7 linked regions of the Macaca fascicularis genome follow. The protein of the gene in region 1 purifies or fractionates together with the protein of each later gene. This does not show direct contact. Links are inferred from orthologs where the notes say so. Each region holds a gene or a part of one and is shown in the gene's direction. Other genes may lie near its edges.

Evidence for each region.
Region 2: the proteins of STX12 (region 1) and VAMP7 purify together in Homo sapiens (affinity purification with mass spectrometry; 3 studies listed by BioGRID and IntAct, counting the BioPlex papers as one, with this or other methods). This does not show direct contact. The link is inferred for Macaca fascicularis from reciprocal best matches to the Homo sapiens genes STX12 and VAMP7.
Region 3: the proteins of STX12 (region 1) and VTI1B purify together in Homo sapiens (affinity purification with mass spectrometry; 3 studies listed by BioGRID and IntAct, counting the BioPlex papers as one, with this or other methods). This does not show direct contact. The link is inferred for Macaca fascicularis from reciprocal best matches to the Homo sapiens genes STX12 and VTI1B.
Region 4: the proteins of STX12 (region 1) and VAMP3 purify together in Homo sapiens (affinity purification with mass spectrometry; 3 studies listed by BioGRID and IntAct, counting the BioPlex papers as one, with this or other methods). This does not show direct contact. The link is inferred for Macaca fascicularis from reciprocal best matches to the Homo sapiens genes STX12 and VAMP3.
Region 5: the proteins of STX12 (region 1) and STX6 purify together in Homo sapiens (affinity purification with mass spectrometry; 4 studies listed by BioGRID and IntAct, counting the BioPlex papers as one, with this or other methods). This does not show direct contact. The link is inferred for Macaca fascicularis from reciprocal best matches to the Homo sapiens genes STX12 and STX6.
Region 6: the proteins of STX12 (region 1) and SNAP47 purify together in Homo sapiens (co-immunoprecipitation; 3 studies listed by BioGRID and IntAct, counting the BioPlex papers as one, with this or other methods). This does not show direct contact. The link is inferred for Macaca fascicularis from reciprocal best matches to the Homo sapiens genes STX12 and SNAP47.
Region 7: the proteins of STX12 (region 1) and STX10 purify together in Homo sapiens (affinity purification with mass spectrometry; 3 studies listed by BioGRID and IntAct, counting the BioPlex papers as one, with this or other methods). This does not show direct contact. The link is inferred for Macaca fascicularis from reciprocal best matches to the Homo sapiens genes STX12 and STX10.

What each region holds. Positions count from the first base shown.
Region 1 is NC_088375.1:207,290,327-207,294,920, reverse strand, and holds the start of STX12 (syntaxin-12), read left to right. Parts: upstream 1-1,629; 5' UTR 1,630-1,742; coding exon 1,743-1,860; intron 1,861-4,594. UniProt on the Homo sapiens protein: SNARE promoting fusion of transport vesicles with target membranes. Together with SNARE STX6, promotes movement of vesicles from endosomes to the cell membrane, and may therefore function in the endocytic recycling pathway.
Region 2 is NC_088395.1:161,921,607-161,926,011, forward strand, and holds the start of VAMP7 (vesicle-associated membrane protein 7), read left to right. Parts: upstream 1-1,581; 5' UTR 1,582-1,712; intron 1,713-4,405. UniProt on the Homo sapiens protein: Involved in the targeting and/or fusion of transport vesicles to their target membrane during transport of proteins from the early endosome to the lysosome. Required for heterotypic fusion of late endosomes with lysosomes and homotypic lysosomal fusion.
Region 3 is NC_088381.1:135,576,615-135,580,962, reverse strand, and holds the start of VTI1B (vesicle transport through interaction with t-SNAREs homolog 1B), read left to right. Parts: upstream 1-1,272; 5' UTR 1,273-1,426; coding exon 1,427-1,541; intron 1,542-4,348. UniProt on the Homo sapiens protein: V-SNARE that mediates vesicle transport pathways through interactions with t-SNAREs on the target membrane. These interactions are proposed to mediate aspects of the specificity of vesicle trafficking and to promote fusion of the lipid bilayers.
Region 4 is NC_088375.1:227,099,041-227,103,335, reverse strand, and holds the start of VAMP3 (vesicle-associated membrane protein 3), read left to right. Parts: upstream 1-1,264; 5' UTR 1,265-1,352; coding exon 1,353-1,354; intron 1,355-3,419; coding exon 3,420-3,489; intron 3,490-4,295. UniProt on the Homo sapiens protein: SNARE involved in vesicular transport from the late endosomes to the trans-Golgi network.
Region 5 is NC_088375.1:38,510,030-38,514,586, reverse strand, and holds the start of STX6 (syntaxin-6), read left to right. Parts: upstream 1-1,686; 5' UTR 1,687-1,941; coding exon 1,942-1,976; intron 1,977-4,557. UniProt on the Homo sapiens protein: SNARE promoting movement of transport vesicles to target membranes. Targets endosomes to the trans-Golgi network, and may therefore function in retrograde trafficking.
Region 6 is NC_088375.1:85,661,099-85,665,666, forward strand, and holds the start of SNAP47 (synaptosomal-associated protein 47), read left to right. Parts: upstream 1-1,532; 5' UTR 1,533-1,697; intron 1,698-4,419; exon of another isoform or gene 4,420-4,568. UniProt on the Homo sapiens protein: Plays a role in intracellular membrane fusion.
Region 7 is NC_088393.1:13,549,880-13,552,698, reverse strand, and holds the end of STX10 (syntaxin-10), read left to right. Parts: intron 1-705; coding exon 706-813; intron 814-1,221; coding exon 1,222-1,328; intron 1,329-1,420; coding exon 1,421-1,515; intron 1,516-1,607; coding exon 1,608-1,684; 3' UTR 1,685-2,036; downstream 2,037-2,819. UniProt on the Homo sapiens protein: SNARE involved in vesicular transport from the late endosomes to the trans-Golgi network.

The sequences.
Region 1 (4,594 bases):
CCTGTAATCCCAGCTACTCGGGAGGCTGAGGCAGGAGAATTGCTTGAACTCAGGAGGCAGAAATTGCAGTGAGCCAAGACTGCGCCATTCGACTCCAGCCTGGGCAACACAGCAAGACTCCATTTCAAAAATAAAATAAAATAACCAAAACAAGAGCCCCCAGATGTCATCCATCTCTTTCTAGAGAGAGGGAAAAAAATGCTCTCAAATTCTCCAACGAAAAATAGAGATAGCCACCCTTAAAAAATCCTAAGGCTGGTGGTGATCACTTGAGCCCAGGAGTTCGAGACCAGCCTGGACAACATGGCCAAACCCCATCACTACAAAAAATATAAAAATTAGCTGGGCGTGGTGGCGCACGCCTGTAGTCCCAACTACTTGGAGGCTGAGGTAGGAGGATCTCTTGAGCCCAGGAGAAGGAGGTTGCAGTGAGCGGAGATCATGCCACTGCACTCCAACCTGTGTGACAGAGCGAAACCCTGTCTCAAAAAAAATAAAATAAAATAAAGAAAAAACCCTAAGGCCATATACAGGCTCATTCACTTGGGGTCTCCTTTCACCCAGGCAAGCAGCTTTCCGTCTTTGCATTTTCCAAAGACTGCAAAGCAGGCTGGGGTGGGGTGGAGAACACAGGAAACAGCCAGTTCCCCTTCACTTCTCACCATCTTGATCTCCTCCCAAACCAAAATCCTATGTCTTTCCTTTTAACATACGCTTACAGAAATGCAGTCTTCTGTAGGAAAATTGAGGTCATGCATTCCAAAGTATTTAAGGGTATGATTTTTAAATTTTAGGAATCTAGTTCTCCAAGAAATCCCGGCTTGGGATATAGATGAACGAGCTATTTGGGAGAGATTTCGATGAGAATGAATTTTAGAGAAGTAGCGAGGTGAGGAGAGAGTCAGCTTAGCGTTTGGCTTTTGCAGTCAAACTTCAGCAAGGCGAAGTAACCTCGCTGGTCTTAATTTTCTCATCGGTAATAGGGAAAATAATAATGCTAACATTGATGAGTTACTTTACTTCAATATTTAAAAAACCGGCTCTCCGTTATCTATTCTAATGATAAAAATGTAGATAGAGCATCGTCCCTTGCTGTGAAAAATCTTATGAACAAGTGAATTGCGGTGAGGATTCACACATAATATGTGCTTAATAAACATTATTATTTTATTGTTTAGATTAGAAGAGGGGTGGAGGGAGAAATGAAAGCGGTTTGGAAACCCCAAATACTACCAAAACCCTGGGGATGGAAGTAGAGAGGAATTTCGGGTTACGATTTGGTTCCTGGTCTGAGTTTCAACGTTGAATACTCCCATATTTGGGCCTGAATTCTCAAAACAGAATAGGATGTAAGGGCTGAGATCATCTGGTACAGTTTTATGCAAATCGAAAATTCTTGCCTCTTGTCAATGTGCCCTGGCGAGAAACAACACCTCCACCCAAGCTCATCCAATCTCAGCCCCAACTAGGTGACGTCATCTCTCCGCCCCGCAACCCCCAAGCCCCGGGCAGTCCTGTCTCTAAGATACAGTCCCAGCCCCAGTCCCAGCGGCGCCTGCGCACTTTGAACAGGGGCGGGGAGGACGCGTGCGCGCTGCGTGGGGGCGGGACTAGTGCGCACGCAGCCTTAGCTTCTTCCCCGCCCTTGGTCTTCCCAGTTTCTCCGTCAGCCTGCGGGTCCCGGCTGGCGGCTGCTTCCGGTAGGAGAGTGGTGTAGGGCGAGCAGGTCTCAGCTCCTCGTCATGTCATACGGTCCCTTAGATATGTACCGGAACCTGGGGCCCTCAGGGCCCCAGCTCCGGGACTTCAGCAGCATCATCCAGACGTGCAGCGGCAACATCCAGCGGATCAGCCAAGCCAGTGAGCCGGGGTACCGAGCTGGGGGGCGGGAGCTGTCCCCGGGACAGGCCTGGGTGAGACTGCCGGGTCGCGGAGCCCGGCTGGGACTACGGCCGAGGCCACACCTGGGGCTGTCTCGGGCTGTCCACCCTGGGGGCGGTGGGCTTGCCTCCCCCAGTCTGTCAGGCCCGGGCTGCCCGAGGGTCCCCGGCCCCAGCTGAAGCTTGAGCTGCTTCTCTGGAGTTCTGCCCCCACGGTGCTGGGACCAAAACAGCCCGAGGGTGGGAAGGGGAGTGTGTGTCATCTCGAGAGCTGTGAGTGCGTTGACTTGGCGCAGTGGTCAGCCGAGTTTCTCCTGTCATCCACCTTCCTCCCCACCCACCTCGCTTTCCTCTTAGGCCAGTTTGGATGGGGTTGTTTACTGATTTAGGCTTTAGGTTTACATTCTGCTCAGCCCCTGGCTCCTCGGAAATCAGCAACTTTCAATTAAGGGAAGTGGAGAGTGCATGTGTTTGGATGACTTCATACACAGTTCTTCCTGTAATGAATTCGGAAATCAGACACAATGACTGGTATTTGAGAGGTGGGATGACTTCTGTTTTAATAAAGATAATTCACCAGCAACATTTCAACTTACATTATTTTGTCTTTTGTAACAAAGCATTGGGGTGTATTTTTGGATTTCAGGCAGATGAGGCTTTTGTTTTCCTTCCCTACTTAGCTGCTCTTGAACAAATCTGGTACACAGGGAAGCTAAGAGACTTAGCCACAACCACAGAGCAAGTAATGCATGGTAGAGTTGTTGGTGGAATTCAGAATGGTATTGCTTGTCTTAAAACTCCCTCCTCCCCATTAGGGTCTGAGTGAAACTATAGCTGAATGAGTCAAATACAGGGTGTTTCTTGGGCTTGAAAATCATCTTGGAGCCTTATAAACAGGAGATCAGCAACAGCTTTACTTGGAAAGAATGGTGGTCATCATCCTTATTGTTTATTATTGTGTTTTGTGAGCTTGGTGTACTCTGTTAATAGGTAGAACTAGTTAGTCCTGAATTACAATTCTGTATTTTAAATAATATCACTTTGCTTTAGTTTTTAAACTTTAAAAAATTTTTCTTTTTTGTAGAGATGAAGTCTTGCTGTGTTGGCCAGGCTGGTCTCAAACCCCTGGGCACAAGCACTTCTCCCACCTCAGCCTCCCAAAGTGCTGGGATTACAGGCGTGAGCCACTGTGCCCAGCCTAATTTTTTTAATTTTAAAAAATTAAATATTTTAAATTTGTTTTTAAGAGACGGAGTCTAGCTCTGTCACCCAGGCAGAGTGCAGTGATCTGAGTGAAGTAGAACGATCCTAGCTGGCTATAACTTTGAATTCCTGATCAGCTTGCTGAGTCGCGAGGACTACAAGGATGCATCTACCATGCCAGGCTAATTTTTAAATTTTTTGTAGGGATGGGGTCTCACTATGTTGCCCAGGCTCACTTTGCTTTTAAATCTAAATGTATATTGTAGAATTTGAGAAGTTTCTGATCAAAAGCAGTTGAGACTCTGGAAGTGAAAGGAAGGGTATGTGACCTCTTAAAATCCAGAACTAAAAAAAAATAATATGACCACTGGTTAGAAAGTGTAGTACTTTTTGTACCAGTTTCCTTTTGTGAAGGAGCTGTAATACAGGTTAGATCAGAAAATTCTAGTTCAAGGCTGAAATTTTCTTGTTGAAGCTAAATCTGATTTTAATATCTATTTGCAAAATATTCATTCAACTTGTATTCAATATTATATATATCATATATAATATTATATTTAATATATAATATACACATGAAGATGGATAGATGGATACATGTTGAATGAATATTATATACATGCTGATATATATATATATATATATATAAAACCAGAATACTCCCAAATGTAGATCCGACATACATTTTTAAATTTACATTTAAATTTTTGTTTTGAGACAGGGTCTCACTCTGTCACCCAGGCTGGAGTGCAGTGGCATGATCTCAGCTCACTGCAGCCTCAACTTCCCTGGCTCAAGCAGTCCTCCTGCCTCAGCCCTACAAGTAGCTGGGACTACAGGTGTGCACCACCATGCCCGGCTAATTTTTTTTTTTTTTCTTTTGAGATGGAGTCTTGCTGTGTCGCCCAGGCTGGAGTGCAGTGGCTCAATCTCCGCTCACTGCAAGCCCCGCCTCCTGGGTTCACACCATTCTCCTGCCTCAGCCTCCTGAGTAGCTGGGACTACAGGCGCCCACCACCACGCCCGGCTAATTTTTTGTTTTTTTTTTTTTTTTTTTTTTGAGACGGAGTCTCGCTCTGTCGCCCAGGCTGGAGTGCAGTGGCCGGTTCTCAGCTCACTGCATGCTCCGCCTCCCGGGTTTATGCCATTCTCTTGCCTCAGCCTCCCAAGTAGCTGGGACTACATTCTCCTGCCTCAGCCTCCCAAGTAGCTGGGAGACGGGGTTTCACCGTGTTAGCCAAGATGGTCTCGATCTCCTGACCTCGCGATCCGCCCATCTCAGCCTCCCAAAGTGCTGGGATTACAGGCTTGAGCCACCGCGCCCGGCCAATTTTTTGTATTTTTAGTGGAGACGGGGTTTCACCGTATTAGCCAGGATGGTCTCGATCTCCTGACCTCGTGATTCACCTGCCTTGGCCTCCCAAAGTGCTGGGAATACAGGCATGAGCCACTGCGCCTGGCCCATGCCTGGCTAATTTTTATATTTTTTGTAGAGATGGAGTTTCACCATG
Region 2 (4,405 bases), on another chromosome or scaffold:
ATTTTAGGGTATAGATAAGATTACTTTAGGAGAGAATATGGAGTAAGAGGGGGCTTTGCTAGAGTCCTAAAAGCTCTAAAAAGAGGCAATATTTAGAGTTCACACAGCTTAGTAACTCAGATCTCTCTGACTCTAAAACTCATTCTTTTTCTAAGATACTATGCTGCCTCTTAAAGAATAGATATTGAATACAATATAATTAAGTTAATATTAATATGAAATGTGAACCTTTGCAAAGGGGAGATAAAACAAGGGGAATGATTAAGATCGCCAGGAAGAGTGTGAAGAGTAAGAAGAGAAGATGGCGTAGGGCAGAACCCTATGGAATGTGAACATTTCAAAAGAAAATGAAGAGCTGCCACAGAGGTGGGAGGAGAACCAGGAGGGTGTAGTGTCTTGGAAAGAGCTAAGAGAATAAAGGGGTTCAAAAAGGAGGGAATAAGGGCCTTGTGCGGTGGCTCATGCCTGTAATCCCAGTACTTTGGAAGACTGAGGCGGGTGGATCACGAGGTCAGGTGTTGGAGACCAGCCTGGCCAATATGGTGAAACCCCGTCTCTACTAAAAATATAAAAAATTAGCCGCATGTGGTGGCACGCGCCTGTAATCCCAGCTACTCAAGAGGCTGAGGCAGGAGAATCACTTGAACCCGGGAGGCAGAGCTTGCAGTGAGCCAAGATCATGGCACTGCACTCCAGCCTGGGCAACAGAGTGAGATTCTGTCTCAAAAAAAAAAAAAAAAAAAGGAATAATCAAAGTAAAATCCTACAGAGTTGAAATATGGTAATGGCTGAAAATTATCTATTTGTTTTAGCAACACTGTTGAGAATTTTGTCTGTAAAGGAGAGGTAGGAGAAAGACCACTAGCTTTTCTGTGTTTGGTGAGGGGGCATAGGGTATGGGGTTAAGAAAGGTGACTTTGGAATGTTTTAGATGAGAGAAATTTTGACAGCCTTTAAGTCCTGATAGTAAAGAGCCAGTTAGCAGAGAGCCGTCGAGGAGTCATGCAACAGCAGGGTTCATCAGAGGAGCTTGACTCTGAGTCAGCAACAGGGAATAGGGATGGAAGAGGGCTGGCTTAGATCAAAGGAGAGTAGTCGTTTATTATTATTATTATTATTATTATTATTATTATTAGTGCAAAAAGAACAGGAGAAAGGATTGGTGAGAGGTACAAGAAAATTAGAAAATTTCATGGCGAAAGTAGAGGCAGCTCCTGTCAGATGAACTCTATTTTGTCTGTGAAGAAACAGGCGACGCTGCCTACAGAGACTAAGCAGGAGAGACGGGGCCAGCTTGGTTCTTCATTTATGCCGCCCACCATTGCTGGTAGATTCTTTATCTAGCCTGCATCCTCTCATTTTCCTGGATCCCTATACGGCGTTTGACGCTGTTTACCACAAGAAATGTCGAACGAACGTGAGACACTCAGGGATACTCCAGTCGGAACTACTACTCCCAGAATGCAGTACGGCTCCTGGGAAGTGCGGGCAGCTGGGAACGCAGCAGGCCTAGCCCTGTCGCCTGCTGCCATTGGAGGAGCGCTCCCACTCCCAAGAGGCCACGCGTAGGCGGGGCGCTTCATGCGGAAGTCGGCGGCGTCCGGTCCCGGCGTCCGGTCCCAGCCTGCTCTGGGAGCTGGCAGTTGGCGACACTTCGCTGACCCGCGCCCCTCGGTCCCGAGCCCGCGCGCCCTTAGAGGGTGCCCGGACAGGTAAATGGAGTGGGGCGCGCTCTGCGGGAGGCGAGGAGAGAACTGCGGGGAGAGGGCGGAGGCGTAGACGGAAAGGTGCTGGGGTGGAGCGAGGAGGCAGTGCAAGGGTGGCTTGGGCTTCTCTGGTGTCGACAGTTTCAGTTGTCGGGCAGGACCAGTTTTGGCGTCTTATGCCACTGGAAAGGCTTCGAGTTAGAGTGTCAGAATGCGTCACTTAAGCTTTCATTACAGGAGGGAAAAAATGTTAACTTTCTCTCAGTTTGCATTCTACAAGACCTTTCTGTAGCATTTAAATCTCTTGAGATCCCCCGAGTCTTCCAAAAACTCTCTACGTCCTTGTTCCATGACGTCACTTTCTGCTTCACCTTCTACTTCTGGCTGTTTATGCTCCTTCGTGGGTTCCTAGCCCCTTATTCGCCCTTCCTCCACTGATCAGTATTGACAGTCCCCTTCTTCGTCTGTTCAGGAACTGTATTTCTGACCGACCCGTTTCCTCAGCTTCAGACCTGTTTGGTGTTTTTATTAGTGGCCAATGTTTATCAAATTCTGACCGCGTACTTTGGTAAATGCTTTACATCTCCCCCTCCCATAACTCTCACAAACAATCAACTGTCTTCATTCGGCCTCATTAATTGCTTTCAACTACCTGTATCTCCATTCTCCCTCCATTGATCCCAGAGGATACAGTCATGTTTGGCATATTAATTCCCTTTGAATACCTGTGGCTGAGAGCAGATCCATTCATATATTTAACAAATATTTATTGAACGGCTGGTATATGCTCGACACTCTTTTAAGTGCAGGGGATACAGCTGTAAATAAGACTTAAGAGGTTGCTACTCTCAGGAACTTACATGTTTGTGTCTAGAGGGGAAAACAGGAATAATCGGGATTATGTTATATATTGGTTAATGCGAAATAAAACAGGTGGTTGACTTGAAAGGGTAGAATCCTATCCTAAGAAAGTCAGAGGGATCGGACTGGGTCTCAGAGCATCGTCCAGAAAGAATAGTTGTAATACCAACAGGAATAATCTTGATCTGTAACATGACTTTTCATAAACACCTCTTCTTTTCCCCTGTCTAAGCAGTGTTTATTCTTCATTCTTCTATCTCCTCCAAGGTTGTTGCATCAGAATTCATGGTTTATCTATAGTTGGTTTATTCCTTATAAGACCCAGAGAGAAGAGTGGGGGATTGAATTACTATTAGCTCAACTGCTTTATCTTACTGAGAAAGATAGTTTGGTTGTGAAAATATTATTCTTACCAGGTCCTTCTGAATATAAAGTTATCTACCATTTATAGTATATTTAAAACCAAAATATGCTCAATGTTCACTCATTTATTCAACAAATATTTGAGGAAATATTAGATGGTAGGCACTGTGCTGAGCACTGGGAAAATAGGGTAAAATAGACACTTTGAGCTCTCTTCCAAGGATAAATAATCCTAACAGTATACTGAGGAAATTCCTAAGACATAGGCTGACACCTACATTCCTGTTCTTCATCCAAGGTGAGATCATCACAAAACATTAAGACATTTTCTGAGCAATTGTGGACATTCTGAGATTATTCACTTATTATTCTTTATCGCGTTTATTTATATGTCTTTCCCCATTGTTCTATGGCTCCCTCAAGTATTGGAATCCCTTCTTCCTTAACTTTATACCTCTAGTGTCTACTTTGACTGTCATATAGTAACCTGCCAGTACATACGTGTTGGATTGAGATAGAAAGACTCCCTATTTGATCAAATTTAAATGACATGATTTATACAAGGCCTTCTTTATGTAAGGCCATCAGCCATATTCCTCAACCTTCTCATTCACCAAAGGTGGACCATTTCATCTTATCAGGCTAACTTATGTACCTTCTTTACTTTGTTCTCACCTCTATGCTTTCTCGTTCCATCCATCCCTCCTAAAATGATCTCCTATCTCTTCCCAGGCACCTTGTGTACCTCCCTCCATTAATTTAGTGGGCCAGTTAGTTTAATAATCTGCTCATGATATAAAGGTGGAAAAAAATTAATTTCCTTTTTATATTTCCTATGAAACATTCTGCCAATGAACTCTTGCAAGAATTAACATAATAGGTCCTCCTGCAATAATATAAATAATGATACAGAATACTTTTTAAAAATTTTGCATTGCTTATCACCATGTGCTATGTAATGAGTTAATTGTACTACTTTATTTGAACAGTTGTATAACCTCTGTTCACACAGCATGTTTTGGTATCATTTGGTTTCTACTTGGTAGAAACACATCTTTTTTTGTTTGTTTTGTTTTTTGAGACGGAATCTTGCTCTGTCACCTGGACTGGAGTGCAGTGGCGCGATCTCGGCTAACAGCAACCTCCACCTCCCAGGTTCAAGCAATTCTCCTGCCTCAGCCTCCTGAATAGCTGGGATTACAGGTGCGCACCACCACGCCCAGCTAATTGTTTTTTGTATTTTTAGTAGAGATGGGGTTTCACCATTTTTGGTCAGGCTGGTCTCGCCACGCACCTCGGCCTCCCCAAGTGCTGGGATTACAGGCATGAGCCACCGTGCCTGGCCAAGAAACACATCTTTGAGTATTACTTTCTCCTTCGCCTGAGATAATTTAAGTGGTAATGTTATTCTGCCACATTGTTATTTTCAGGATGTCAGTTAAAGTCTTAAGTATTAAAATTAAAGTTTTTTGGTT
Region 3 (4,348 bases), on another chromosome or scaffold:
CAGAGATGGGGGTTTCACCGTGTTGGCTAGGCTGGTCTCGAACTCCTGACTTAAAGTAATCCGCCCGCGTCGGCCTCCCAAAGTGCTGGGATAATGCTTGAGCCACCATGCCCAACCTGAAGACCGGCATTTATACCCATGGAGTGCAGGAAAGGACCTTGTAATTGTTAACAAGTGACACTTAGTGGCAGATGAGACCTAATGAAGCCAGGCCCACCTTCCACACCAGATTATAAATTCCCCCGGAGCAGAGAGTAAATGTTTTATTCACCAACATGCCCAGATCCCTCGCAATGCCTACGCTTGACAAACACCTGTTGTGAACAAGTGCACGAGGCAGCCTAGCAGCTAGAGTATTTCGAGGTCATCCTAACTGGGTTCCACTTTTGAATTTTTGTTTTTTGGGTTCGTTTGGAGACAAGGTCACCCTCCACTTGGGAGCAAAGTCTCCCAAGCTGGAGTGCAGTGGTGGGAACTCTGCAATCTCAACCTTGTGGACTCAAGTAATCCTCCTGCTTCAGCCTCCGGGGTAGCTGGGGCCAAAAGTGCGCGCCACCTTGCCCGGCTCCTATTTTGGGTTTCCGGTAGTGCTCTCGCTATTGTGACCAGGCTGGTCTCGAACTACTGGGTTCAAGCAATCCTCCCACCTCGGCCTCCCAAAGTACTGGGATTACAGACGTGAGCCACTCGCCCGGCCGAGTTCCACTTCTGAAAGCTTGGGGAGCCGCTGGGCCTTCCAGGAAAAGTGCTCCACCTCCCGACTGCAGGCAGAGCCCCCGGCCCGGCTCTTTCCAGGGCCTAAAGCTAACATTCGGTCAAAACGCGAAATGCGGAATTCGGGTCAGGGTGGCAAAGCAAAGCGCGATGACAGTGAGGACGACGTCTAGACGCAAACACACATCAAATCGGGCCGAAGCCCGCTGTCGCCTCGCGGGCTAAACCTGGCACCCCGGGCAACGCGCGACTCCGGCACCAGACGCTCTCCGAGTCAAACTACATCCCCCGGCGTGCACTGCAGCGCCCGCCCCTGGCCGGCCGGCGGGGCCCAGGAGGAAGGCGGCCGAGCTGCCCGTCCCGCAGGTCCCCTAGGGCCCTTTCTCTGCGGCCTTTCCCCACCCCGGACCGGGCACTTCTCGGGCTCTGCGACTACCATTCGCCCCGCTCGCTCCCTCAGGAGTCGCCTAGGCCGCGCAGTCTGCTGCCTTCCCGTCAGGCCTTCGCGCCGGCGCTCCCGCAATCACGGGCTAGAGAGGGTGGGCGTTCCGGCTCGGGAGGACCCTTCTGCGGCCCCGGAAGAGCCTCGTCCTGGGCAGCGGTGGTGCGGCGGTCGCCGTTATGGCCACGGGACTGGGCGGCTGACCGCCGGGCTAGGAGAGGGCCCAGAGCCCCGAATCTGGGTGGCCGCTGCTCGAGCGCGTCCTGCGCCATGGCCGCCTCCGCCGCCTCCTCGGAGCATTTCGAGAAGCTGCACGAGATCTTCCGCGGCCTCCATGAAGACCTACAAGGGGTGCCCGAGCGGCTGCTGGGGACTGCTGGGACCGGTGAGGCGCGGGTGGGCCACGCCGTGGGGAGCGCGGCCCCGCGCGCTTTGGAATTTTCCCCCACCTTCCTCCCAGACCCGGGCCCGCGTCTCCTTCCTCCGCGTCCTCAGACACGCCCCCTAGGGCTGGCTGGGTCGCAACCCCGGGTCTCCCTGCCACTGAGAGTGAATTGGGGACGCGCCCAGGGACGCGGGGTTCAGTTCCCTGGGTTCCTTCTATGGCCTTCCACATTTTCTCGTTTTTTTCCACTGCGGCAAACAGAGCAGAGGGGCTTTTACATCTGCGGTCCTGTAATGTAGCGTGGGTTTCTTTCGTAGCTGTTTTTGTTTGTTTTATGCATTTAGAAGCACTAGTCTCAAGACAGGTCTAGTTTTCACCAGACTGACAGAGGATCTGTAGCACAGAAAAAGGGTTAAAAACCCAAAAGAGTCATAATTTGGGGCGTTGGTATATACCTGTTATTGGAGGGTAGAGAGCTGGCCTTTAAAACCTTATGGTGGCGTTTAGATGTGGTCTTGTTTTGAACGTTTTTACTGCTGCGACTATTTACTACCCCTTCATTTCATGGTTCAGGTTGCTACAAGTTTTGTCTGGAGGAGCTAGAGTTTTCCGGCCCTAGATCCATAGGAAGACCTGCTATATATAGTTCTTGGCCTCCGGATATGTAGAACTTGATGGCAAGGACAAAACTTTGTTTTATTGCTTTTATTTAAGGATCAGAGCTTGAGTGTTTGCTCAACGAATTACTCAAGGTCATAGGAATTGAATGACTCTGGTGAGAATGAAATGCATGTATTTAATATATATTTATTGTGAGGCTGCTGTGTGCCAGGCACTGTTCTAGGTGCTGGTGAATATTGCAAATTACAGTGAAAAAGACATGCACGTCCCCATTCTAGTGGGTAGGTGATAAACAATATATAACTATTAAGCGGCAGTGTTAAAGAATACAGGAAAATAAGAGTAAAGGAATAGGGGATGGGACTTCAGTTTTATTTTATTATTATTATTATTATTTTTGAGACAGAGTCTTACTCTGTCATCCAGTCTGGAGTGCAGTGGTACGATCTCGGCTCACTGCAGCCTCCACTTCCCAGATTGAAGCAATTCTCCTGCCTCAGCCTCTGGAGTAACTGGGATTACAGTTGCGCCACCACCCCTGGCTAATTTTTTTTGTATTTTTAGTAGAGACGGGGTTTCACCATGTTGGCCAGGTTGGTCTCTAACTCCTGACCTCAAGCGATCCGCTTTCCTCGGGACTTCAGTTTTAAATAGGGCGGTTGTGAAAGTCCTCTGTGAGGAGATGGCATTTGAACTGAGACTTGAATGAAGAGAGGGAGTAAACCAGAAATCTGGGAGAAGTGAGTGTCAGAAGGAGGGAATAGCACTGCAAATGCCCTTAAGCGGAAATGAGCTTGGTGTGTTCAACGAAGAGCAGGAAGTTCCATGTGTTTGGGATGAAGTGAGCAAAGGAGAGAGGTAGGCAGGGCCAGATCATGTAGGGCCTTGTGGACCATGGTGAAAGACTTGTGCCTTTTTCTAAATATGATGGGATGCAGTTAAAATATATTGTGCAGAACCATTGTGGGATCTGATTTATGTGATTGAAAAGTTGACTGCAGGCAGGGCACGGTGACTCACACCTGTAATTCCAGTGCTTGGGGAAGCAGAGGCGGGCAGATCACTTGAGGTCAGGAGTTCAAGACCAGCCTGGCCAACATAGTGAAACCCTATCTCTACTAAAAATACAAAAATTAGCCAGGCATGGTGTCAGTTGCCTGTAGTCCCAGCTACTCAGGAAGCTGAGGCAGGAGAATTGCTTGAACCCAGGAGGCAGAGGTTGCAGTGAGCCGAGATCCTGCCGCTGCACTCTAGTCTGGGCAACAGAGCAAGACTCTGTCTCAGAAAAAAAAAAAAAAGGAAAAGACTGCAGGCTAGGCGTGGTGGCTCACACCTGTAATCCCAGCACTTGGGGAAGCTGAGTTAGGATTATTGCTGTATTGAATGATTTTGAGACCAGCCTGGGCAACGTGGTGAAACGCCATCTCTACAAAAAATACAAAAATTAGCCAGGCATTGTGGTGCGTTCCTGTAGTCCCAGCTCCTGGGGAGGCTGAAGTGGGAGGATCACTTGCGCCCTGGAGCTGGAGGTTGCAGTGAGCCAAGATCGCACCACTGCACTCTAACCTGGATGACAGAGCAAGACTCTGTCTAAAAAAAAAAAAAAAGTAGACTGCATTTTCAACCTGGCACTGAGTTAATTTTTGCATTGCCCATTTCTATAAGGCTAAATAATGCAAAAGAACATTGCTTGAAAAATAGAAAATTGAATTCATTATTACTATGGTTTGAATGTCCCCTCTAAAACTTATGTTGAAATTTATTTGCCATTTTAATCGTGTTAAGAGGTGGGACCCATAAGAAATGATTAGACGATGAGGGCTCCATCCTCAGGGATTGGATTGTTATCCTGAGAGTGGGTTGGTTGCTGAGAGAGTGGGTTAGTTCAGCCCTCTCCTGCTTGCCTGCTCTCTTGATCTGTTGCTCTTCCACCTTCTGCCATAGGGTGACACATGGGTAGCAAGAAGGCCCTTGAAAGAATCAGGCCCCTCAGCCTTGGGCTTCCCAGCCTCCGGAACTCTGAGAAATACATTTCTTTTCTTTATAAATTACCCAGACTCAGCTATTCTGTTATAGCAACATAAAGCTAAGATAGTTACATTCACGTTTGTTGTCTCCCCAGCCTTTTTCTCCATCCTGCAAAGAGGACAGTCGGAAATATGTGATTTTTTTTTTTTTTTTTTGAG
Region 4 (4,295 bases), about 20 Mb from region 1:
TTTCTGAGTATTGTGTCATCGCTGCTCCATTCCCTTTCACTGCAGAGCCTCTCCTTATCTCCCTAGTGCTCCCTCTTCCATCTGATCCATCTGGCCGCTACTGCCAGAGAAATTGTGCAGCACGGATCTCCCAAGTCCGTGAGTCAATGGTTTCCAGGGCCCACTACAATCAAATGACATTTTTCTTGTTTACCCTCTTTATTCAGTCTTCTTTTCACTTGTACCCAACCTGCACCCTGTAGGTGGTCTGTGCACACTGCGTCCATTTTCACTGCTGTCTTTGTTCATGGTGTTTGTCCAACCCTTACTGGAAAGTTCTTTTCTGCTAGTACCCAGCTCAAATCCCACCGCCTTTGTGACAGTCTCGTTTATTCGAATATATACGAATGTTTCCCTTTTCGAAGTATTCTATTTAGAGTTGGAAAAAACAGCATAGTATTTAAGTACTGTATTTTTCACTTCTCATTTAAGAGACCCACCAATGACCAAACACCTATAGTGTTTTATTTTTTGATGTCGGTAACTGTGTTGGTAGGAATATTTCAGTGACAAATATATACAAGGTAACTCACTGCGTTCAGATTTGTGCTTCCCTCCCTTCGACCAAAACCTGAGGACCTATTCTGTGTTAGGGCCTAAAAATACAGAAATGAAGGAACTACAGTCTTGATGCCAAGGCTCTCGTAAGCAGATTATAATATGATCTGCAGGGACAAATATTTGTGTTACCGAGGAAAACATGAGCGGGAACCTAACCCAACCCCATGTGACAAATACCTGAAATGGACTTCCTATTTCAACTACTTTCTCAGAGAAACATGGTGCCCTCGGGATCACTAGGTTAATCTGGAACATTCAGCAGAAGCCAATCATCTGTCTCTAATACTGTTAGAGAGAAATGGTCCCGAGCCCAGAATAACATGAGTTGCGCCCACCCTCACTTATCCACACAGTCCCCAGCCAGTGCCTAATGCGCCACGTTTGCAGACCACGTCCCCAAGCGCCAGCGCGGGCCGCGGTGCAGAGAGGAAGCTGTATTGACCTGCACTCTGCGTTTCAGAGCCCGGACCGCCCTGGGACCCCTGTGGCCCTCAAGTTCCCAAGTGACCTAGTCCAGGGAGTGGACATCTCGCTCTGACCCCGCCCTGGACGAGCCCGCCACGACGCGCCCGCCCACGACGCCCCCGCCCACTTCCGGCGCGCCCCCTCTGCGCCCCGCCCACTCCCGCCGGCCCTGCCTAGTGACGTCTTTGCCCGGAGTCGCGCCGTTCCGCCCATCTCCTTGGCCTCCGGTCCCTACTTCGCTGCTCTGCTGACCCTCGCTCGCCGCCGCCGCCGCCGCCGCTGCCAAAATGTGAGTGACGCTGCGCGACGCGGGCGGCTTCGGGCCCCGCAGGCGGCAGCTCGCGCTGGGATCGCCGTACCGCCCAGTTGCCGCCGGCCGCCGCTCGGACGCAGGCCGGGGCTGCGCGGGGATCCCGAGGCCTGGGGGTGGGCGGTAGCCCTTGGGGCGCGGGCTGCAGACGGCCCGGGCGGGTTCCGCTGCCATGGGGCGGACGCGGAAGGGGCGAGGGCGGGGTGGCGAGGCGCTTCCCGGAGGAAGTGAGTTGCCCGCCCGCACCCCGCTCCTCGCCCCTTCCCGTTCTAGTCCCAGAGGTCCCGGAGAGGAACGGGGACGACTGCCCTGGTTCGGGAGGGCCGGCTCTCGGCCCAGTTGGGCCCCGGAAGTTGCAAAAGAAAGGACCTCGGCCCTGTGCTGAGCCCCTGTGGGCCCAAGAGCTCCTTGCCTGGCTAGGGGCATCTGCACTGGAAAGATCACTTAACCGTGGGCCTTCGCACTCTTAAGCGAAAGCGCTCTTGTGGCCCTTGCAAACCGGTGCTTCCAGTGGTAACGCTCAGAGAATGTTCATGGTTAAGAATCACAAGGACCCTCTCTTCCACCTCCATTCTGTTCATTGCTCACCGTCGGAGGAAGCCCCGGGTTTCTTCCAGGAGTTGGGGACCCCCCCTCGAATGTTCCTGCTGAGGCTGCTGTGTCAATAGATCACAGTGGTTAAGATCTAGATCCCAGGTACACAGGACCTGATCTAAAAACAATCTGAACGGCAGCCAGCTGTGTTGACTTTTTAAACCTCACTTTACTTATCTGTAAAATGGGAGTAATATTCCCCTCAGAGAGTTATGAGAGTTGAAGGAGAAAATGCATGAAAAGAGTCTAGCACCACGGCATGGTCCTTACTTATCTACCAGACACTAAACTCTGTGAGGACGGCGATGAGATCTGTTGTAGCCCTGGTCATTGACACATGACAGATGTAAAGTGACTGTTCAAACAGTCCATCAGACTGTTGTATACTAAGGTACATGCTAGGTGCTATCTAGGATACAGAGAAGAGAGTAAGAAGACCCAGGAACCTGTAATCTATTCGAGGAGGCAGGACTTTATACCTGAAAAACCAAAGTGATACTTTCCAAGTAATGGAGCCAATAATGACTTCAGAGTCAGAGTGGTTAAGAAGGATCTGCATGAGGAGAAATAAAGCCTTTGATGAAGATTTTAAAAGATGAGTACCTTCCCGGGGCGGGCGCGCTGGCTCATGCCTGTAATCCCAGCACTTTGGGAGGCCGAGGCAGATGGATCACCTGAGGTCAGGAGTTCAAGACCAGCTTGACCAACATGGTGAAACCCCGTCTCTACTAAAAATACAAAATTAGCCGGGCGTGGTGGTGCATGCCTGTAATCCCAGCTACTTGGGAGACTGAGGCAAGAGAATTGCTTGAACCCAGGAAGCGGAGGTTGCAGTGAGCCGAGATCACACCATTGCACTCCAGCCTCGGCAACAGGAGGGAAACTCCGTCTCTCAAAAGAGGAAAAAAAAAAAAAAAAAAGAGTACCTTCCTAAAAGGGGAAGCATTGCTTCAACACACCTTTCCACTCACACCAACCGCTCCCTGCATCCCAGTGTTCCTGACTCTGTTTCTGTAAATTAATCTATTTTTCTATATTGGAAAAAGGGCATTCTATAACTGTTTATAACTATGAAAACAGTTCCTGCCACAATGAAAAGATCAGGAGAGTACTGAGTACGTTCAAGCAGATGTGTGCCTTAGAACAAGTTTCAAAAAAGGACAGTAGAGTTTACCTGTCGTGGGATCAGATACTTCAGGGATACAAAGTAGGTCCTATTAAACCTTCACGTTTGTCCCTTTAGTAGGTGGGACAGTCTTGGAAATTATAGAGAAATTAGAAGAAATGTAATTAAAACTTTTGTTCATTGCTTCAGGAAGAATTTCTTTTTCTGCTTTAGTTCTAATGTAAGAAATTGTTAACAGTGAGAGTCCTGGAGTAACTTCTTTATACTTAAGAAAATGTATTTGGAATCATAATTTACTCATGCTCCTGCCTTTACATGTTCCAGGTCTACAGGTCCAACTGCTGCCCCTGGCAGTAATCGAAGACTTCAGCAGACACAAAATCAAGTAGATGAGGTATTGCTCTGAAATGTTGGAAATATGAATTTTAAACAAGTATGAGCACTCTGGAAATCTGTTTAGAAAAAGTATCATGAAAGTGTGAATGTAAAGCAAATTCTGACTGTATCATAATTGTAACAAAACTTTGCTCCCTGCTGTGCTGGAAGATCTAAGCAAAAGTCAGACTTTCTAGGTTTCATGCTTGTTTTCCTGTGGTAGAATCACATACCTGCTCATAACATTTAGCTCAGGAAAAATAAAAAATCATATGCTTAAAACATGAACACCACTCCCTGAGTGTATTCCCCAAGAACCACTTTATAAAATAGGATAATACAATGTTAGGATTAGGTCTTTAGATTGCTCAAGCCAAGACCAGTTCTTCTGATCAGATTTTTTATCAAAATGCTTTGTCCACTTACTAGTTATCCAGCCTGAGCAAGCCTCTCTGTAGAATTCATCTCTAATGGCTGTCCACTGACTCACACAAAGTAGATACTGTCAAACTCCATTAGCCCAGCAAATCTCTATTTGTAGAATTCTTGAGCTAGAGGACCTTCATCTTTTGTTCTGCACTGTATGTGGAGAACCACAGCAAAAGATTGAGAAATTCAGACTAGTATTTCCACATTCCTAAAAGCTGTCACTGTCCAACAGATATGTTTCGGTCTTTCTGCATTTAGCTGCCCTAAAAAACGGTTAAAGTTATGTTAGATACTGTTGTGAAATAATATAGTAATGTTTTGATCTGATGGTTTTGTTCGTGAACTTCTAAAAATTTTAGATTTTCCCAGTAAGAAACCCATTGTAATTCTGTCCTG
Region 5 (4,557 bases), about 170 Mb from region 1:
TTCGCTCCTCCAGGGATTTTGGCTTTCACCTCTCTTCTCTCCCCTCTCAAAACCCATTCAGCCCCTCATCATGTCTAGGTGTTCAGTCTTGTTTTCCTTTTGAAACATCTGTCAGATTCACTCCTTCCTCTCTGTTCTCAATCGCTGTCATCCTGGTCTGGCCCTCATCCCTTCACGCCACATGACCTTAGCAGCGTCCTTACTGGTTTTCCTGACTTCAGTAACTTAATCCTTTGGGATCTTGAGGTTTACACGCATTTTTATTTAACTATCACAACAACCCATGAACTAGCTATTATTATTTATGTTTTATAGATGAGGAGCTGAACGATAGAGCCAAGGTTTAAACGGGGTTTGTGTTGCTCCAAGGACTGTGCCATCTCCAGACTGGTGACCTTGGGCAAGTCACTTACCCTCCCAGAGTCTCAGATTTCTCATTTATAAAATGGGCATGATGGCAGTAATTATCGCACTGTAAGAGCAACCGAGATAACACTTAACACCCTGCCTGACACACACACACTAAGTGCTCAATGATTTTCAGCAATCAAAGTCCACAATCCTCATCCACAAACTCCACAGCATATCTAGCATATGAGTTGGCTAAGGTTCTGGGCAAAATGTTTTCTAGAATAGTCCTTGAACCACAGTGAGAGGAAGTTGTCATACCTGGCCCCTTCTTTATTCCTTGTAGGTGCGCTCTCCTGGGAGGCACCATATGCTGTATGAAAAATTACTTTACATGGTTATTTGCAGAATGTACAGCAACATAAAGTACACCCCATCTGGTGGAAAGTGCACAGAATCTGCAGTTCTGCTCTGTCCAGGCTGTGTGACTACAGGAAGTCGTGAAGCCTCTCTGAACTTATTTTCTCATCTACAAAATGGGAGAAATGGATGGCGTAGGGGCTCACGTCCGTAATCCCACCACTTTGGGAGGCAGAGGCAGGAGGGTCTTGTGAGCTCAGGTGTTCGAGGCCAGCCTAGGCAATATACTGAGAGCTCTATCTCTACAAAAAATTTAAAAATCAGCTGGGCGTGGTGGCTCTCACCTGTAGTCCCAGCTACTCGGGAGGCTGAGGCGAGAGGACCGCTTGAGCCCAGGAGGTCGAGGGTGCAGTGAGCTGTGATTGTGCCACTGCACTCCAGCCTGGGTGACAGAGAGAGTCCCTGCCCCCCAAAAAGGGGAAGGAGGGGAATAATACCTTCCCCCAAAGAATACTGAGATGATGCATACACAACTTTTTAGCACACTCTCCAACACAAAGTAAGACCCTACTTGAAGGAGCTGTGTAGCATCATAATCAGATACTATGCTTCATTTTAAGTCGAGGACCAGATAGATTTATAAATTACATACTGTCAAAATCAAGTATTAAAAGTAGAGGAAAGGTAAGAGGATTTTGCAAAACAGGTACAACTACAGTTTATCCTGAAAAGCCGACTGCCTACCTCTGAGGGAACAAGCCGCTCTTCACCTTCAAGCCTGAGGAGAGGGCGGTAGAAAGCCGCCCACCTCCTCCGCCCCGAGGGCTCCGCCTCCAGGGCGGAGGGACGCAGGCCCAGGCCCCGCCCACTGGGGGAGGGGCAGGCCCTGATCACGTGAGTGGGGTACGGAAGTCGTGCTTCAGGCGGCTTTCGTGATTGGCCGCAGCCGAGGGTCCTGGGGGTGGGGTCAGGCTCTCCGACTCGCCGGGAGGAGCCGGGACTGGAGGCTGCAGAGGGGGCCGGCTCTGGAGTCCGGGATTCGGCCAGTGGTGCTGAGCGAGTGCTGGACCAGCGGTGGTCCCGTGCACCTGGCCTGCGCGCGTGCCCGCTGCTTGGCGTCCCCCAGTCTAAGGCGCGGGCGGCTGCGGGAACAGGCCGGGTGGGCGGAAGGAGGCCGGGAGGCACGGGCGCTCTGTGCGCGGTGGAGGTGGAGGCGGCCGGGGCCGGGACGCCATGTCCATGGAGGACCCCTTCTTTGTGGTGAAAGGGTGAGTGTCGGCCGAGGGCTCCACTGGAGGAAGAGGTGGCGGTGCTGCCTGCCCGCACCTCCTCGGTCTTCTCGCAGTAGGGGGAGGGGAGGCAAGTTGGAGCTGGGGAGGGGTCACAGTGGAGACGGCTTAGTCTTGAGGGCCATGACCAAGCGTCCAGAGACGTCTCCTGCATCCCTACCTGGACGGTGAAGCCACTGTCCCCAGCCAAGCCCCTGGTGGTGGTGGGGCCTTTTTGGCCTGTGCGCTGCGGTACAACTTATTTGGGGGTCGAGGGGCTCAGCAGCTCTGCAGGTGAGAAGGAGACACGCAGGTCCTAGCTCACACTGGCCGTCTATTCGAGCATGGGACCTTGCTTCGAAGGAGCGAAAACAGCATCTGGGCAGGAAAAGGGAAATGGCCCTCCTGAGCTTTGTAGTTCGTGTTGACGGGGGTGAACTCCATTGTCCATTGAGTTTGGAGCGCTCGTCCGCAGGACTGGCGAGACCACAACAAGCCCAGAGGCGTCTGAGCACGTTTGCTGGGAGGGAGGCGGGGGCGGGGGCTGATCTGGGAGGCTGGGGAGCAGGGCACAGGAAGACAATTCAATGGGGGGAGTTTTTACTGAGTAATGTGAGGAGAGGAAAGCAGTCGTTCATACTCAGTGATGATTTGGAAGGAAAACAAAATGAAACAAGCCAAACCAAACTTTCCTCAGCTTTCTATTAGCAACCGGAATTTTCTCACAGTGCTAAAGGAAATGAGTGTTGCTTGTTAACTCCTTGATATCATCCAGGCTGTTTGACAGGTTTCTCCTATTTCTTCTGCCTTTCAGAATAGAACTGCCTTCTGTTCCCTTGTAAGCTGTCCTAACTCCATCTTGCTCGATTGTTTCTTTGGAGATAGAAACTTCAACTGCACTTTGTAATATCCACTTTGTAGCCATTAAACAAATGCAAGAAGATTAATTCTGATGTAACTTTTAGTTTCTTATTAGAAACGTGTCAGTTTTCTGTTTTAAATGTCAAACATGAAAAATCTGAAAACTGCAAAGTTCCCAAATCAGTACTGATCACAGAATGTCCCTTGCTTTTAACGAGTTGCTGCTAGCTTCCTATTTTTGTAGTGGTACAAGCTGGCTGTTGTATACTCAAGTATTGTAGAAAATTTAAATGGCATTTTAGGTGAAAGATTTTATCGATGATGCAGTAAAATACACTTATAATATTTCTTAACATTTCCCTGGAAAGGTCTTTTTCTTCACCTTACTCTAATTTAGATGGGAAAATGCTGAGTTGTAGATTTACTGGTAATATGTGACTTCCTACCTGGAAAATGTGATATTTATTAGAAGAATTGATTAGGGGTTAATTTTAAAAATGTGTTTTTTCCTTGATTGAAAGTTCTTAATGCTTAGGTTGGCAAAGGTTATCTCTGGCAGTGGAGATCAGAGATGATCAGAAATTTTTTGTTTGACTTTTTATGGAATTTGTCAAAAGCCTAAATTCTTCTGCCGTCGTGGCATTTTTTTTTTCTTGACGGTATCCAATACAGTCGTCTAATGCTTGTTCACTGATTAAATATCACTACTTTATTGGAACATTGGTTCGGAGTTTTGATTGACTTTTACATCATTTTAGCTCCTGTCTTTAAGGTTCTTGAAGGAAAAGAGATTCTCAGTACCTTCTACTGTGGAAAGGTAAAGTCACCCATGAAGGTGTATCCAGATTTTTTGGGAGTCATGCACCTGTGTTTATTAAAAGTATCAAGAATGCATTACACAGCATGGAAAAATTAAAGATGCCTAAATTATGGCCTAGGAGCTTCTAGTCTAATCTGAGAAACAAATTACCCCAAAATTAAGTAGAAATGACAGGTGGCAAATGAATGAGTGTTGAAGTGAATGCTGCAGATGATGAGTGCCCCAGGAGTTCAGAGAAAGGCATCTCCTTGGGAATTGTTAGGATTAGGAAAGCTTTTGGAGGCAATAAGTATATCTTGAATTACGTTTTGAAGATGGGCAGAATTTAGATAATCAAGCCTGTCTCTTTTATCTGGATGCTTATCAAAGAATCTTTTAATTGTTCTTCCTGCTTCTGGTCTCATTTCCTCTTTCAGCTGTCCTGGGATCTATTGGATCAGTGCTGTCCAATAGAAGTATAATGCCAGCCACGTACGTCATTTTACATTTTCTAGTAGCCACAGTAAAATAAAAAGGAACAGGTGAAATTAATTCTAATGTAATCTCTAGTACATTCAAAATATTCGACGTGTGATTAATACAAAGATTGATGAGATATTTTACTTTTGCACTAAGTCTTCTAAATCTAATACATATTTTACACTTACTGCACATTTAAATTTGGACATTAAATTTTCATCAGAAATAATTTATCTGTATTTAAAATTCATTAAATACTCTTTTTTTTCTTTTTTTTTTTTTTTTTTTGAGACAAGAGTCTCGTTCTGTTGCTCAGACTGGAGTGCAGTGGTGCAATCTCGGCTCACTGCAACCTCTGCCTCCCAGGTTCAAGCGATTCTTGCGCCTCAGCCTCCTGAGTAGCTGGGACTACAGGTGGGTGCCACCTCACCTGGCTAATTT
Region 6 (4,568 bases), about 120 Mb from region 1:
TGACGAGAGCACACTTGAACAAAGGAAAAGCAGACATATTTATCCCTTACACATTTGGGTCATCTTTCTGCTGTGTCCTGCATCCATTGGCTGAAGCTGGACCTCACAATCTTAAACTGAACCTGATTTGCTAACAACCTGAAACTTTCGTAAATAGGTAAGTGCAAGGGAGAACAAAGGAGAGAAAATTGCTTATGAAAGGTTTAAAGAAGCAATAACATTTCCAAATAAGGAAGGGGAATAAGCTATGAACTAAGACTTGCAAGGGCCTGTCCGGACATGCCGGACATGCTTTGCTTAAGGCAAAGCAACTAACTGGGCTAAAGTGTAAGAACTAATAGTTGATGGGGGCTTTAGACTAAGAAGCTATTATTTCTAGTGTCTATTATTTTATTTTTAAACTAAGACGAGCTCTGAAGAGGAACTTATCTACTTTCCACACTCTCTTATCCTACAGTTGACCCTCAGTGACTCCATTCTGTGGAACCTGGAAGCTAGCCTTGATCTTCCCAGGGCCCTCTTGCCCCTATGAAAGGAAAGTAAATCTCAAGACCCTAAACTAAATAAGCCAAAGTGAAAAGTCAATCTGGAAACTGGGTCACATAAACCTGCCTCCCATTTTGTGTCTAAATAAGATAGCTACAAAGATTAAAAAAAAAAAAAGCATCGCACCTCTCTCACAATTTGCCCACAAATTGTGGGCCCCAAGATTTTTACCCAAAAACAGTTGTTTCATTTCACCCTGACAATGTACATTGATAGCTTATATTCACAGGTATGCAACAAAGGACAGAACTCAAAGTCATCCCTCTGCCTGAAATATATGCATATCTGATTGCTTCCTCTGCCCTATGTTTATTTTATCTTATGTAAAAATGCAGATTCACCAAGCTAGACAAATGTGTAAGTGACTATTTCTCTACCCGCCCCCCACATGTAAATTGTGTATTCATTGAATCGCTGATCAAAGACTCAAAAGGATGCAACCACTTGCCTCTTATTTACTCACACCCTTTTCAAAATTTCTTCCTCAATCCCCAATACCCACCCTTTTCCCTTTAAATGTTGAGGTCCCCAGATTCTCCTTGGAAAAACCATGGACCACAATTTTCCCTGTGGTTCTGTATTCTTTTCTGGGCACATCCTTAACCTTGGAAAATAAACCTCTTAAAATGATTGAGACTTGCCGTGGTCATTTTTTTTATTTACACCTCAAACTTGGAATCCCTAACCCCCCTTCCTCAGACACCTGGACCCCAGGGACACAAGGGTAGGGAAGGGTTTTGTTACTGGGTTTCTTAGCTGGGGCTGCAGGGCCCGTGCTTGCCACCAGGGGGCAGCGGACCCAGCTCTGCTCAGAAGGCACCTGAAGCCAGGGAAGCCCCAGGGTCATCCTGGCCCCCGCGGCCCGCCCTGCCTGCCCCTCCCATCCCCGCCCCACCTTGCCCTCCCGCCCCTCCCCTCCCTATCCCGCCTCCTCCCCGCCTGTCCCTCCCGCCCCCACACAGTGCCCGACCGGAAACTTCCCACCTGGCACTGCCGCCAACCAAAGTCATGAGGGCAAGACTCCGGTTCCTGCCCTCACAGGGTCCCAGAAGCAAAGGCAGTGAGGACCTGGCCCACGTCCCTGCTGCAAGTCCCTGGCACGGGGCGTCCGATTCTCCTTCGCTGTGGCGGGAAGCTGGCCGGATTTGAAGGTAACATCCAAGACCCCGATTCCCGACACGGGGCAGAGGCCAGGGGACCGGTCTAGGGAGCAGGCAGGCCCTGCCTTGGGGCCGAAGGCCTCCAATGGGAGCAGGCACGCATCTCTGAGTGGGGCCGCGGGGGTGGACACTCTGGTGCCTTCCTGCAGGGGAGGGGGTGGCAGGCTACAGAGGAAGGCCAGGATCCACCGGCCTCCGGCTCCCTAGGCGGGGCCAGAGGTCCAGGCAGGGTCTGTTTGGGGCCTGGGGCCCCAGGTGGGGTCTATTTGGGGTGTGCTTATGCAGGATTCTACCCGTGGATTTTCCTCTAGCTTCAGGACAGGGTCTGGCTCTCCCAGAGGAACAGGGTAGGAGCCCAGCTCCAGCTGTTTTCCTGTAGGTCAGAGCCTGCAGTGGGAGGGTAACTGGGGCCTGTGGAAGGGGACTTCTGGGGTCAGCCCCCAGGCAGGAGAGAGAGGCCCAGGTCCCTGGAGTTCCTGCCTCCAGGGCTGCTGAGTTTGGGGGTACAGACCACAGGACACTGGACATCTTGCTCCCTACCCTTGGCCAAGCTCAGGCCCAGGGCTTAGGGAAAAGGACTGTCCATGCTCCTCTAGTGGCCCAAGGTTGTAGCCATTGGCATTGACCACATGACTGACCACCTGGGCTAGGCCAGGGTCTCCTGGATCAGCCCTGCAACTCTGAGGATGATGTCTTTCCCCACCCCACATCCCCTCTCCCCTTCCCTGGACAGGTGGGAGGGAAACCTGTGAAGCCAGGGCTTGGAAATGAAGCCTTCTATGCCAGTGGAAGGAGTCACTGACTTGGAAACCAGGGCCTGCCTTCTGTCTGCCTGGGGATCCAAGATGCAGCTGGTAGTTGCAGTTGGGTGGGACGCTGGCACCATTACCTGCCACAACCACCCACAGTGGTGGATGGGGGACAGGGCTGAGGCTGACACTCTGGAGCATGGATGAACAAAGGGTAGGACGTGGCTATCAGGGATGCCCTACACCTGGGATGTGGGCTTCAGGGTAGCTGGCCAAGGAGTTGCCCCTTCTGCTGGCTCAGTGGGCAGAAGGGCACAAGCATGAGGATGGTCTTGGTCCCTGGGGGAGACACCTTCTCTGGAGGCCACAGCCCTCTGGATGCAGAGAACCTAGCTTCGCCACAGCCAGCAACGACTTGACTTGGGGCTCCTGTCTCTGCCTCCACGGATTCCAGCCAATCACAATTGCAAGCTCAGGGCAGGGCAGGCACCCATAGGCCCCATCATGCTCCCTTGCTCTGTGTCCTCCCAGGCTAGAGTCTGTGCAGACACAGCAGGGCCTGACTTTTCCAGCCTTCCTGTGGGGGCCCACAGGTCCCACTCCCCAAGGAATCTCGGCCACTGCACGCCCTCACCCAGGCATGGTGGGGTGCACAGCCATTGTCCCCACACTTGCAAGTATATCCATCTTTGTGCAGCAAACACGTAGCCTTAGGTCGAGCATCTGCATTGTTTATCTGACCCCTTTCCTCTGGAGCACCAGTTAGCTGCAGCCTGCCTGTCCTTTCTCACACTTGATAGGGATGACACGCAAAGGGCAGGGCCTAACTGCCACACATCTGCAGCTCCTCACCTCGCACTCCAGGCAGCTGGTTCTCAGGGCGATGCAGCCTTTCAGGCTTCTTGCAGAGGTGCGATTCACTCTGCAAAGACCCTCACATGTGCTGACAACATGCCTCCCCAACCCTGGACAGGATCCCAGGGCAGCATACTTGGGAAAGGGGCATCCGGCCTGATACTTCAAACTGCTGTCTAGCCACACTCTGCGCAGCGGCTGCCCCACCACCCACCTGGCCCTGGTGTCAGCATTTTTGTTTTGTTTTGCCAACCTGGAGGTAGGCAAAAGGAGTCCATGGTCTTTGAGTATGGAGTCATCGATGCCAGCTGCAGTTCAGCCGTTGCCCTGCGGAGGGCTCTATCTCCCCCACAGAGCTTCTAGCATTTGCTGCTTTGCTGCACCTGTAACAGCCCCGGCCTGAGATTCTCAATGCTTGCTTTAAGAAAAAGTGACTGAGGCTAGCAGGGCTCTCGGGAGTGTCTGTGCACTGCCTCCTGACTGCAGAAACACGAGGGTCTTCACACACAGTTCAGGAGCGCAGGACCACGCACGCAGCCTGGATGGTAATGGGCTGCGACCTGTGCTACCTTGAGCTGCCAGCTCGCATTGGGGGCTGCCCTGGGGTCCTCAGTGCTGCCCTCATCATGAGAGAAGCTGAAGGACACCTGGTGCCCACCACCTGGTGGTGCCCCTCCCCTGCAGGTGCTGGACCTGCTGCTCAAAGGGGAGCCCCAGCTCAGGCAGAGGCACCTCAGCTGGCTGCTGGCAGTGCCTAGGGCACATACCCCAACCCTTGGCCTCAGCCTGTGTGGTAGGTGCCAAGAGGCCCAAGCTCAGAGGTTACTGGAAGGGCTAAAAGGGTGTGCTACGCCCACACTCAGCCTGGGCCTGGTCCCGGCAAGTCTGCAGTCACGCATATTTGCTACCTCCCCCTCCTCCCCCACAAAGCACCTTTGCCACCTGTGGTTTGGGCAGTGCCAGCTCAATCTGTAGGAGGCCGGATGATGTCTCAGGGCATTTCCGTGCAGACCAGGGGTCCCTGGGAGCTAGCAGGGGGGCCCAGCATACAGGTCCCTGGAAAATTGGTGGCTGGAGCTCATTCACTGGACAGACACATACGAAGCACCTACTGTGTAAAGCTGCTTTTGCAGGCACTTCACATGATTCATTGAACAGAGCAGACAGAAACCCCGGCCCTTCTTAGGGGCTTCCATCCTATACAAGTGCCAGCAGCCCCAGTGGATGCCATGGGCAGGCAATGCACACAGCCGTGGCA
Region 7 (2,819 bases), on another chromosome or scaffold:
CACCTGGTATTTTTTTTATTTTATGTTATTTTATGTTATGTTATGTTATTATTTTTTATTTTATTTTTTTATTTTTTGAGAGAAGGTCTTAATCTGTCACCCAGGCTGGAGAGCAGTGGTGTGATCTTGGCTCACTGCAGCCTCCGCCTCCCAGGTTCAAGTAATTCTCCTGCCTCAGCCTCCCCGAGTAGCTGGAATTACAGGCACCCGCCACCACGCCTGACTACTTTTTGTATTTTTGGTAGAGATGGGGTTTCACCATGTTGGCCAGGCTAGTCTCAAACTCTTGACCTTGTAATCCATCTGCCTCGGCCTCCCAAAGAGCTGGGATTACAGGCATGAGCCACTGCAGCCAGCCCAATTTTTGTACTTTTAGTAGAGATAGAGTTTCACCATGTTGGCCAGGCTGGTCTCAAGCTCCTGACCTCAAGTGATCTGCCCACCTCTGCCTCCCAAAGTGCTGGGATTACAAGCCTGAGCTACCGTGCCCATCCTGTTCTCTGCATTTTACAGATGAGGAATCTGAGGCACAAGGAAGTCAAATGACGGGGTCTCTGGGTCACCTTGCTAGTAAGTGGTGAGTGGGGAATGCAGGCTCTCCTGCCCCAGAGTCTGCCTCCCTGACTCACCACTGTGGGGATTTGTCCCCCATGCCCCTCTGGGAGTTGGGGTCCCTCCCCGAGCCTATGTTGTGTGCCCCTGCAGATCCTGGCAGGCAAGCCAGCTCCCCAGAAGTCACTCAGCGACCTGCTGGATGCCAGTGCAGTCTCGGCCACGTCTCGCTACATCGAAGAGCAGCAGGCCACACAGCAGGTTTTGGGGCCGGTGGGGTGGATCCAGGGAGGGGAGAGTCTTGCAGACCGATCTGAGGTCTGAGGTCCCTTTATGTTGTTGTTGTTGAGATGGAGTCTTGCTTTGTTGCCAAGGCTGGAGTGCAGTGGCGTGATCTCAGCTCGCTGCAACCTCCCAGCTTCAAGCGATTCTCCTGCCTCAGCCTCCTGAGCAGCTGGGATTACAGGCGCCCACCACAATGCCTGGCTAATTTTTATATTTTTAGGAGAGTTGGAGTTTCACCATGTTGGCCAGGCTGGTCTTGAACTCCTGGCCTCAAGTGATCCACCTGCCTCGGCCTCCCAAAGTGCTGGGATGACAGTCATGAGCCACCGCGCCTGGCCTTCTGGGGTCCTTTTCAACAGCACCTCCCACCCCTTCGCTCTGCAGCTGATCATGGACGAACAGGATCAACAGCTGGAGATGGTGTCTGGGAGCATCCAGGTTCTGAAGCACATGTCCGGCCGCGTTGGGGAAGAGCTGGACGAGCAGGGCATGTGAGGCCAGGACCCTGGGGGTGGGCCAGGGTCTCTCGGCCACCCTGGTGTGTCTGGGCCGTCTGGGGCTGATGCCATCCTGTTCTTGGCAGCATGCTGGATGCCTTCGCCCAAGAGATGGACCACACCCAGTCCCGCATGGACGGGGTCCTCAGGAAGTTGGCCAAAGTATCCCACATGACGAGTGGTGAGTCCCCTTGGGGGCGAGGTCAGTCCTAGTGGGGGCAGGTTGTAGGTGGTACCCTCTTCCCCGGTGACCTCTGATCTTCTCGTTCCCAGACCGCCGACAGTGGTGTGCCATCGCCGTGCTGGTGGGGGTGCTTCTCCTCGTTCTTATCTTACTTTTCTCTCTCTGACCCCAGCCCTCCCTGGCAGGCTGGTCCGTTAAGCCTGGGGAGCCACCAAGCACTTTGGAGCTGGCCTAGCCCCCTAGGAGGAGAGGGTTCCTCCTGGGTAGCTGGAAAGTAGAGGTTCCTGCCTGGGGAACTGTCCCCACGGCTCCCCCCCAGAGCCAGTGGTACCCTTCAGGACCCTGGGCCGAAACCACCACCACTGGTCCTGTCTCAAGTGCACTTAGGGGGTGGTAGAGGCAGCGTCACCTCAGACACACCCCTCTCCATTTCCAGTTCTGGGACCCCAAAGCCATTCGCCCCTGTGCCTTACACATGTGCCAACCTGGAAATAAAACGTCAGCCTTTTTTATACGTATTTGTGTCGTGTGGTGTGTGTTGACTGCAAAATGCATGACTGAGCCCTGATTGGGACTCCCATTCTAAGCCAGTGCTTGCACAAGTGCCCCAGTGTGTCTGTGCACGCGTGCGTGTTCCGGATTCCTTTTTTTTTTTTTTTTTTTTTGAGACAGAGTTTCACTCTTGTCACCCAGGCTGGAGTTCAGTGGTGCGATCTCTGCTAACTGCAACCTCCGCCTCTTGGTTTCCAGCAATTCTCCTGCCTCAGGCTCCCAAGTAGCTGGGATTGCAGGCATGTGCCACCACACCCAGCTAATTTTTGTATTTTTAGTAGAGATGGGGTTTCACCATGTTGGCCAGGCTGGTCTCAAACTCCCGACCTTAAGTGATTTGCCTGCCTCAGCCTCCCAAAGTGCTGGGATTACAGGCATGAGCCACCACGCCCAGGTGAATCTTTTTTTTTTAATGGCTTAGGTTCTCTTGATCTTTTTATTTTTATTTTTATTTTTGAGATGGAGTCTCGCTCTGTCACCCAGGCTGGAGTGCAATGGCGTGATCTCGGCTCACTGCAACCTCTGCCTCCTGGGTTGAAGCGGTTCTCATGCCTCAGCCTCCTGAATAGCTGGGATTACAGGAATGCTCCACCATACCCAACTAATTTTTTATTTGTAGTAGAGATGTGGTTTTGCCATGTTGGCCGGGCTGGTCTTGAACTTGAACTGACCTCAAATGATCCGCCTATCTCGGCCTCCCAAAGTGCTGGGATTACAGGCATGAGCCACTGTGCCTGGCCTGTTTTGGG